Linked DNA regions of Caenorhabditis elegans. The protein of the gene in region 2 interacts with the protein of the main gene of each other region in a pairwise test. Each region holds a gene or a part of one and is shown on either strand. Other genes may lie near its edges. The genes, in order: sdz-12 and cec-6.

Region 1 (4,260 bases), on a different chromosome or scaffold from region 2:
GATAGATAGATTATGATGCCAAACGCTATCTATTAAGCACTAACGTCTTCGTAAGAAGACAGCCCAAGTCCACATTTGGTGTTCCGTATGTGATTGCTCAGAGATTTCTGAGAATGTAATTACTTGAACTGTTGCACCTTGCGCAATTCCTGAAAAAAAATGGATCCTTTATTAATTAATTTGTGAAAATTTTACAGTACCTGAGAATAAACTGGCACAAGAGCTTGAGCTTCAGGCAGGTCCATTGATAAGAGAGTAGAGGTGAAGGAATAAATGAACCCGCGCAGAGTGTTTTGGTGGGGCGCAATTATCGATTTGGCGCGCGGTATTGGCAGAGAGCAAATGGGAAGGAGAGTGAAGAAGATGTAGATAGAAAAAGAAACTATGCGTAGTTTGATCTACCAGTCCTGTATTCTGAAGACCAACTAATTGTTTGATTACTCCATAAAATCAGTGATCACGATAGAATAGGGTACTGTAGGTTACCGTAGTTATCAACAATTATCAGTTTCCTTCAAGGGCGAGAACGAGATTCATTGAGTACTTTTAACAAGAAAAAATATTAATTAAGCAGTAGAATCTTATCAATTAAGTTCCTATGCCACCAAAATCATGACTCGCAGTGATGATGTGCATGGTGAACACGATCTTATTTCCACATTCTGCTCCACAAATTGCACATTTGAATGGGCTTCCTGGCGCGTGAAGGGCGTTATGCATGATGCTCATTGTGGCATCGTGGAACTTGATCGTGCAGTGCTTGCATTCCTGAAGAGCTTTTGAGTTGATGAAAGTGTACTTTGAAACTTAAGAACTTACAAAGCTTGGGGTTGGCTCACTGGTAATTAGATTTCTAAACCTTGGCTCATTGGGGCTTAGAGTTGGTGAGAGCTGTTGATCAGTGTTTGGAAGAGTTGCCTGAAAATTTCAAGTCTAATGGTTTCAAAGAACGGCACCAAAACCAATATTGAAAATGAAAACATACCGAGTTCTGTTCACAGAATTCTTCGATCATCGGGGAAGTTCCTAGATTTATGCTCAATTTTTGAGGCGGCTTCTCTTGTGGCGAGATTGCCAACTGAGCTCTGGGACTTCCTGAAGTTGATACGGTGATAGGTGACAGTCTGGCGGAGCTTGTGGGAGCAGGAGCCGAAGAGCGCAGAGCCTGAAAGGATTGTTAAGTCTTAAAGAATTATAAAGCTTTTCACCTCTTTATGATCAAAATGGTAGTGTACCAGGAGATGCCTAGGACTCCCGAATAACTTGTGGCATTTTCCACACGGAGCCGATTCGCTGTATGAAAAGTGGTGATGGTTTACGAGATGATTTTCAACGCCCTCATAGAATACGAACTGCATTGAACAGTTCAACACGGGACAGTCGAAATGTGATCTTTCCTTGAGATGGTTGTGCAGGTGCCTTTGAAGCTGAAAATTACAAATTGCTGGAATTGAACAGGAAAAATGGAATAAAATCTGCTTGCCTGATCTTCCCTGAAGAATGTTCTCTGGCAAGTGCTGCACTTCTTGGATTTTGAACCAGAGTGAGTTATTTGATGACGCTTCAAGTTTGGCTTGTTGGTGAATTGTTTCTCACAATTTTCACATCTGAATTTGTGATTGACCTGAAAAAACGTATAGTTGGAGGAGGAGAAGCTCAGTGGCTTAAACATTTTCTCAAAAACTCACCACATTGGAACGTCCAGGCCTACACGTAATGTGCTTCATGTGCGTTCTCAGCGTTTTCTGAAAAATGGTAGTGAGCTCTATATACTAACTAGCAAAAAAAGGAAGATTATCTGCTGTACAGTAAATTTTGTAAAATTAAGATAAATTAACAACACTTTTTTGCTCACTTCAAAAACTAACCTGATTCGCGAACTTTCTTTTGCAAACTTGACACTGGGGCACCTTAGCAGAATCCTGATCCAAAGTGGAAGAGGTTGCAATAAGCGACAATACGGCGTCTAGTGATGACAAACTCATTTTCACAGAAGAAATCTCTGCGGATTGTCCGAGGGCAGGGAGGAAGGGGAGTGAGAAATGTTTTTGCGTAGTTGCAAAAAGAGGTACATAAGTTCAAAGACTGTGTCCTCGAAAGCTGTGAGAAGTTGCGTCACATATGACGTTGGGGCTTTTGGAGAAGCGGGGCCGACGAATTTATGAAATGTGTGTAATTGCACATTGTAGAGCTGATTGAGTTTTTCAGTATCTCAGTTTTTTCAGTAATTTCTCCATTGACGATGCACCTTCTTTGGGGGGAATATTGTAATCTTTAACAAAATTCACAACATTTTTGGAAGACCAGCTGCCAACTGTGCCAAATTTGCCGGGAAACGAGACGCTGCATTATGCATTATTTTATCGATCCACTAAGATTATCTCCTAGCGTTATTCACTCATAATCTGCCTCTACAAGTCTTCCTATTCGTCATTTTTCTGCAATTTAGTAGGTTAGTAGACATGCTCGTTATAACAAAGGAATTTGTGTCAACTTACACTATTAAAGCAATCTCCAACTTCAAGCCGGATACCACTTATTGCAGCGAGGTTAAAGAATATTACTATATTCCATGGTATTTTTAACTTTCCTTTTTTTATTTAAATTTTTATATTTCCAGGAAACTCCATGTCAATCGAAGAACTGATCAACTTGAGGTGTATCTTAGTTGCGACCAACTTGGCACAATTTGGTCAGTTCAGGCGAATGTTGAAGTGAAGCTTAGATCTCCCAATGAATCTCCCCACTGCAAAACAGCCACTGTAAATTTCAATAGTGAGAAGCCGAAGGAAAACTCATGGGGATGGAAGCAGTTTGCCGATTGGGAGAAAGTCGCAAAAAACTTTGTGATTGAAGATGCGCTACACTTTAAAGTTCATGTTCAAATATTGAACGCTTCTGGGTTCAAGGGAAGAGATCCGGTTTTGAAGTTCGACAATGAGTCTATGGGAGAGCTGTCCGATGTGGTTTTGGTAGTGGATGAGCAGAGATTTCATGTTCTGAGAAAGCATCTCGCTCTGCAGTGCTCCTACTTCAAATCCTTGTTCTTTGGCAGTTTCGGCGAGTCGAAGAAATCAGAGGTTACCCTCTCTGGGATAGACCCGGAAGCCTTCCAGGCATTTTTGGAAGTTCTCTATTTGGAGGACTCGATTGATGGTTAGTTTTTAGTGCTCACATTGGTAATAATTTAAAAATTTCAGACAATACCGTCGAAGGAATCCTTCAACTTGCTGACATGTACGATTCTAGAGCGGTTATTGGGAAATGCGAGAAATTTCTTTACAAGGAGTCCGAGAAGTCCGGGAAAAAGAAATTGGAATTGGCAATTAGATACAAGTTGGAGAAACTAGAGGTAAGTGCGTGCACCTGAATATAACCTTATTTTATCTTCCAGATTCACTGCTGCAACACCATCAAAACCATCCAAGATGTCCGCTCAATTATCGCTGGAAACATTGATGAAATGAGCCCATTCCTGATGAAGCGGGTCTTGAAGCGAGTTCTTGAAGTTTAAAAATTGTTCGTTTTCAAATATGAATTGCATTTTTCTAATAACTGATTTTTGGCCACTATTTTTTCTCTGTTTTCAATTGTAAAGTTTTATTTGCCAGTACAAAAAATAAATTTACGTTTTCTTTATATTATATTGATGAGAAAATTTGAAGACTTACAGAAGAAATTCAAATCATGAACCAGACCAAACCAGAAAAAGTCAAGTCAAGAATTCAAGAAACTTTTATCTAGCATTTCATAAAGTATTTTGATAAGACATATACATAGTTATATTTTGTGGAGTTTAAAAATATAGTTTTGAAAAGTGAAGTTCAAAAACATAGAAAAATAAGAAGTTAGAGGTTTCGAAAATAAGCTTAATTCGAAAGACTCGAAAAAAATCTCAAAAACTGGAAAAAATTGAAGATTTCAATCGTCGGACGGTGTTTGACAGTAACTCGTCGTCGTCGTCGTAAATAGAAGTAGTGTTGATTAGAAAAAACGATGGAATAAAGAAATCAGAACCTCCAAATAGAAAAAGTTCCATGAATGTTTTTAATTCGATAGGCACGCATGCCATGAACATCAGATTCCTCGGCTGAATTAGGCATTAGTAGCTCTGGGCTAGAGTGGGGATAATCATTGTAAATGTAGAAAATGAAAAGTTCAAGGTCTGGATTCAAAGCCTTTAACCCAGAGCTTGATCAATAATTTCAAATTGGAATTGGATAACGGGGTAGCATGGAGTGAAATCACTGGATTGTTCAT
Region 2 (6,093 bases):
ATACTTTTACACATTTTCAAGATTTTTCTTCTTTTTTTTCTCATAGCGAGTAGTAAGAGACGCAGGTTTATGGAGAAAGAGACAATGTTTTGACAGCTTTTTCTTGTATATCTATGTATGTGTCTGAAGAGAAGAAATGAGAAAAAAAATGAAAACACGTGAGAATCTGATGAAGACGAAGAGAGGAAAAGGCGAAAAAACGGGGAGAGAATTTACATCAGTTTGATGAAAATTTTATATGAAGAGCGAAAGATTTTAGTGAGTTTTTCGATGTACATGCATACTTTCAAATGTGTACTAGAACTGGAGCAAAATTTAGAATTTGAAAAATTGGAAAAATCTCTTTTTTTTTTGCAATTCTTCAATTTTATAATAAAGAGTTTCATAAAAAAAAACGTTTTTTTTTAAACATAACTAAATGTTTTTTTTTTCAATTTTCTGAAGCTTACAGAAAATTATCTGAAAATAACTCCAATAGTCGATTCAAGACGAATGATTACTAGATAGCGGAATTATTTTGAATAAAATTAATGTTTATTTTCGGCTTCAAAAAGTAATTTCAACCGAATAAAAAAGCTTATTGAGAAAAAAATGGAACTACATATTCCTTAAATGCGATTCGGGGGAGAAATACGAGCAGAGATCCAAACTGAAAACTGGGAGATCTTGAAACAATTGAAAGTTGAGTATCATGAACTCTAAAACTTAAAGCAGATGTTGACCGTGTTCGAAGAGGAATTTTAACATCAAAAAAGAAAAAAAACAAACATTTAACAAGGAGAGGGGATAATTGAACACGATGGGTTTAAGGATGAAATGGAAATAAGAAGAATTAGACATTCTTTTTGATGAAGAAAAGTTGAGTGACAAAGCTTATCGGCTGATCAACTTCTGCTCTCATCTCGATATGCGCATTTCCGGGAACCACTAGATCTTTTTCGTGAGCTTTGTCCGAAATACCAAAGTATCGACAGCCCGGCGATGAGAACGGAGTCATTTCGAACATTCCTATGTCGGCTTCGTAACAAGTGAGACCTTCCGTTTGACGGAGCAATCTGAAATATAGTTTTTTTTTCATCAGATGACCAGATTCTGCCTACAAACTCACGTCAACTTTTCAATTTTGAACCCGTCATCACTTTCGATCAGAGTGAATTTTGGCAAAGAAAACTGCTCCTTTTCGGCCAGATTACAGCGAAACTCAATGTCAATTCGATATAAGGCGAGAACAAGTCGACCCTTCCCTTCCTCGATCATCTTCTTGTATCGCTTTTGACTTGTTTTCAGCTCATCAATTTTTTCAGTGTCGGCTCCTTTAGAGTTCTCCAAACCATCACGATATCCGATCGCTTCGGGATAAAAAAGACAACTCAATACTTGATGAGTTCCATCACCACCGTTGGACTTGTTGCTGAGAGGTGAACATCGAAGAATGTGAGGATATGTGAGATCCACTGAAATGAATAGTTTCAAATATTTTTTATGGGAAACGAAAACTTACTCCTAATCTTCCATCGTCCTCCCATACGCGAGAAGATCATTTTTGTAACTTCGTTTTCCAGAAAAATCTCCAACGATTCACTGGTAAGTCGAATCACATCATTCAAGTATCGATAGTACTTCTTCCGATCTTCTGTGGCTGTCGTCTCGGATTTATGTGCCTCTATCCAAACTTTCAAATAATGTTGAAGTCTCATCACTCGTTTTGTTGGCAAGTGAGTTGCAAGAGCATTTATATCGAGTCCACCGATTGATAAATAGGACGGGATTCGTTGAATATTGCCATATTGAACAGCCAGAAGATGCATTGCGTCGACACTGTAATCGCCAACGGTTTCTTCTTGGATTCCAATCGGTTTGTTGAAGTCGAGGAATAGACGCTTCTGACACTCGGCTCCATATTTCATGCAATGGAAGAATACGTCGTCGCGGAACGGCCCGTCATCTGAAAAAAGATGCTTTATAAATACTTTATTCTCCTTTTTTATCTCGTTACCTCCTTCCCAGCCGTGATAGCATTGTCCCGAAGTTTCCAGAAATTTGAATCGGTCTGGCATCAGTTTCAAGAAAACCTGCAGCCAGGCACATTTTCTATGCCTATCAGAGCAAATGATTTGCTGCTCTCTAATTTCTCCTTCTTTCACCGCATCGGATGCTTCCACGATCGCCATGCCTTTGGGATCAGCTTTCCAGAGACGGTGTTTACAGTAGGCTATTAGAAACACGATCGCCTGGAATCTTCGACAATCGTACTCATCACTCGGAGGGAATCCTTCGTTGAAGATCGTTTCGAAGCGAATATTGTCATCTTTGGAATACGCGTGTGACAAGCATTCCAGCAACTGAGCGAAATTCTTGTCTGGCCGAATATTATGCATTGCTATTTTGATATTATTGGCGTTTTCCTTAACAAGATTCTCGTAAACCAGCTGCTCCATTTCAAGTGAAGGCATCTTTCGTTGCTTCGTTAGAAATAGTTCTTGTTCTTGGGGATAAATCTTTATAACCACTGGTTTTGCGTCCGCATCCAATCTGACAGAGTTCTCAAAGTTCTTTCCGAAAATTTCCATTTCCGCATTGTTGTTGAAATGATCGGAAAGCATCTCGAGTGACTGACAACGACGAAATTTTCTGAGAGTTAGAGCTGGTGAAAATCCAGTAACAACACGAGACGATGTTACTTGCAGAGGATATTTTTTGATCGTTTTCTCTATCTCCTCACATTCTTCACGAGCGCTCTGAAATTTTGTAAAGTTTTTGAAATCTAGGATCTGTAACGTGCATACCTCAATAGCTTTCTGTAAAGCTTTTTTCGTCTCTTGAGTGCAGTCCATATCCTCACTTTCACGAGAAGTGGAACCTTCTATGGCACTACCGTCACTGAATGTTCCTCCTTGATGAACAGAATAATCGGACACATCTTGGCCATTCATTTTTCTCTTGAAAACAGGCTGCGGCTGGGGACTTGTGGAACCATTTGCAATATCTGACTGGTCATAGGTGGAATCTATTATCGAAGGCTGTGGGGTGCCAATTGATAATGTTGCGATTGCACACTCTGGAGTTGAAGCCTGGCCTATTTCATTCGATTTCTTCTGCATTCTCGGAGTTTTGTTGTCGAGTGGTGTTATCCCAGGAGTAGAAACATTGCTAGACGATTGTCCTGATGTTCCAGCTCCTTCCCGATCACTGATCTTTGGAATTCTGGATCCTACCCCTTCTATCTTCTTCTTCTTCACAGCTGGTTCAGTTTCTGCGGAAGCATGGGGGTTTTTCGCTTGTTCTTTCCTGTTCTGTTCTTCGAGTTTCGCCTTTTTCCGAGCTCTCTTTTCTTCAATCTCGTCATCGGTCTTCAAATATCGATTCGTCACACATTTTTCGCTTGCTAGCGAAATCCTTCTCCACGTAGAATGCTCATAATGATGCTCGAAGGTTAGATGATCCAACGACATATTGTTTCTTTCCTTGAACTTTTGTAGCTCCTCGCAATTTTCGAGATTCTCCTCTGGTTCCCAAGTGCGCTCTTTCCAATCGTAACCTCGCCAGTGCACCTGAAATGAAACCAATTTTACAAAACAGTTGTTCCAAAGAAGTTTTAGGTCAGACAATGACTGTTATTGTAATAAAGATAAGCTATAAATATCAGGTCTTCCCATAAGTTTTTGTACTTTTTTCAAAATTTTTGAACAAGTTCTAATTTGGAAGAACAAAATCGAATCTTTTATAAATGTACATGAATGTACTACTTGCCAACATGAAAAAAAAGAAAAGTTCAAAACTTAGGGAAGATCTAAAACATGAGAAATGGGATGGAGAAATTATCGTAATGGCGGGGCACTTAGACAAAAGTTATTGTGGTAAATGCAATATCAAATAATGCTGATATGAGTCATGCGGGAACGAAAGATGAAAGAACATATAGAAACGTACGAGTTCTCGTACATATCCTGCCTAATAACCAACCAAGTACGCATATTTTGAATGCCTTCGCTTGTCATATTCGACCGAGGCCGGGCTGAATTTTGCCTCCGCGTTTAGTGCTTTCCGTACGAGATCCTTGAATTTCACGCATTTCAACACTTGCGAGACCATATATTCTCCTGAACTATCATGAGACATCTGAAATTTACAACAGGTTTTTCAAAATAATTAAAAAATCTGGAACAAGAATTGGCGTTGCAAATATTGAAAAGAACTTGAGCAAACTTTAAAATATAACAATTCCAGCTTTTTAAATTCTTAAAAAAATGTATTTGACAGATGAAAAATAAATAAAAAAGAATAAATAATCCGTTTCTTTGAAGTGTTGTTTAACACGCTTTTGTGATGAACGGGAGATCTCGAGAACAACAAAATTGATTTTAATTGAAGGAGAGGTAGAGAATGAAAACTTGTGAATTGAAAAGAATAGAAACAAAAAAATTAAACAGTTATTTAGGGCTTATGGCGAGGGGTAACGAATGAGAAAAGCCCTTTAACTGTGAGATAAAGTAAAAAGAAGAATGAAAAATAGAAACAAAAAATATTTAACAGTTATTTAGGGCTGAGGCTAAAGAATGAAAATCCATTAACTGTGAGAGAAATTGAATGGAAGAATAGAAAAAAAACAAGTTCAACAGTTATTGGTTGGCCCAAAATCAACCTCGATGAGCGCTTTTCGGATGGCTTCTGTGCGCACTTCGAGAACCTTCTCGTTTTCGACGTTGTCGAGAGCCTCTTCTACGAGACGCTCCTTCTGTTCCAGAAGAACTTCGCGAGAGATTCCTGTGAATTTGGTTTCAATCGCGTTGGTAATGGCATCACTTGTAACGGTCTTCGCCGCGGACTTCTGAAAAAAAAAACCGATTAAATTTCTATATTTTTCTGCATCATTCTCTTACGTCAGTCCAATTTTCCTGGTTTCCAAAAGCCTTCTCTAGCGCTGAGCCCATCAAATCTAAATCTTCATCGTCTGCATCGTCCAAAACTTGTTGAACGGCTTGCAACTTCAGAGCATCACAATCCACCGAAATTGGAACAATTTTGGCTGGCTCTGGAGCACCGGGAACTGTTCGACATAACTGGGGCACCAGAGGTAACTTCAACACGGGCTCAGCTGCTGACGATGATGGGACGTGGGAAGATGGCTTCTGGAAAAATATTAATTTTAAAAAACTATTATTCAAGTGTAAATTTGGGTTAAAATTACCTCCTCTTCCACCCTGGACGAATTTTGAATGGACTCATCAAAGCTACAAGACTCTGGAATCGTTGAGTCGTATTGTGATATGAAAACGTCTCGAGACCCTTGACCGGCTTCAGAGGGCAAGATCACATCAGCGTTCATCAAATCCATATCTTCATCGTCTGCATCGTCCAAGACTTGTTGAGCGGATTTCGAGTTCAGATCATCAGAATCCACCAAACTTGAAGAAATCTCGGCCGGCTCTGGAGCAGATTCTGGAACCGTTGAGTCGGATTGTGATCCAAAAACATCTTGAGATACAACTTCAGAAGGCAGGAGCACAGCGGCAGCTGTACCTTCGAAAACGGTAAAGTCATTTGTACTCTCGGTGATAGAATTCTCTAGATTGTTCACAGAATCCATCGTTTTGTTAGACAAAACTGATGTATCGAGATTTTCATCCATATGAATCATGGCCTCATTTGATTCAAGTGGAACCGTCTCATCCAGATCTTCATCATCAACATCCATGACCTCTAGAGTAGCAACTTCTTCCGATTCGTCGTCTTCCTCAATCACTTCTTCTTCTTCTGCATCCAAAAGCTTATAGGATATCAAGTTGCGGTCTATTCCAACGAGGAGCTTTACGTTAAACTTTCGCTCGATGCTGAAACGAGTAAGTTTTACGATGGATTATGAACGACTTCTAAACTTACATTTGCTCAGTCTCCTTATCAATTTCAATACCAATATTCTTAAGCAGGTAGAGAATGGTTTTCTTGTGAAGTGGCATCTCGTGGAGCCCTGGGCACATGATCTTTCGAAAGTGCGAACTCCAATTAGTTGCACTTTTCGACGATCGTGTGACTCTGACAAAATCGTTCCAGAACGCGATCCCCTTGGGCATCAACTGGACACCTTCCTTATCT

What was found.
Region 1: the proteins of cec-6 (region 2) and sdz-12 interact in a two-hybrid assay, tested with the Caenorhabditis elegans proteins (one large-scale study listed by BioGRID).

The regions. Positions count from the first base shown.
Region 1 is NC_003280.10:3,729,564-3,733,823, forward strand, and holds sdz-12 (Zinc finger protein sdz-12), read right to left. Parts: upstream 2,261-4,260; 5' UTR 1,986-2,260; coding exon 1,869-1,985; intron 1,746-1,868; coding exon 1,689-1,745; intron 1,625-1,688; coding exon 1,484-1,624; intron 1,428-1,483; coding exon 1,209-1,427; intron 1,166-1,208; coding exon 986-1,165; intron 919-985; coding exon 820-918; intron 769-819; coding exon 589-768; downstream 1-588. Other genes in the region: bath-31 (BTB domain-containing protein), read left to right, coding at 2,463-2,575, 2,621-3,156, 3,201-3,352, 3,395-3,514. UniProt on the Caenorhabditis elegans protein: Together with ehn-3, may play a role in gonadogenesis.
Region 2 is NC_003282.8:5,542,886-5,548,978, reverse strand, and holds cec-6 (Chromo domain-containing protein), read right to left. Parts: upstream 4,120-6,093; coding exon 3,964-4,119; intron 3,552-3,963; coding exon 2,787-3,551; intron 2,739-2,786; coding exon 1,997-2,738; intron 1,946-1,996; coding exon 1,502-1,945; intron 1,455-1,501; coding exon 1,109-1,454; intron 1,056-1,108; coding exon 833-1,055; 3' UTR 520-832; downstream 1-519. Other genes in the region: tebp-2 (SPK domain-containing protein), read right to left, coding at 4,613-4,828, 4,881-5,129, 5,189-5,831, 5,881-6,093.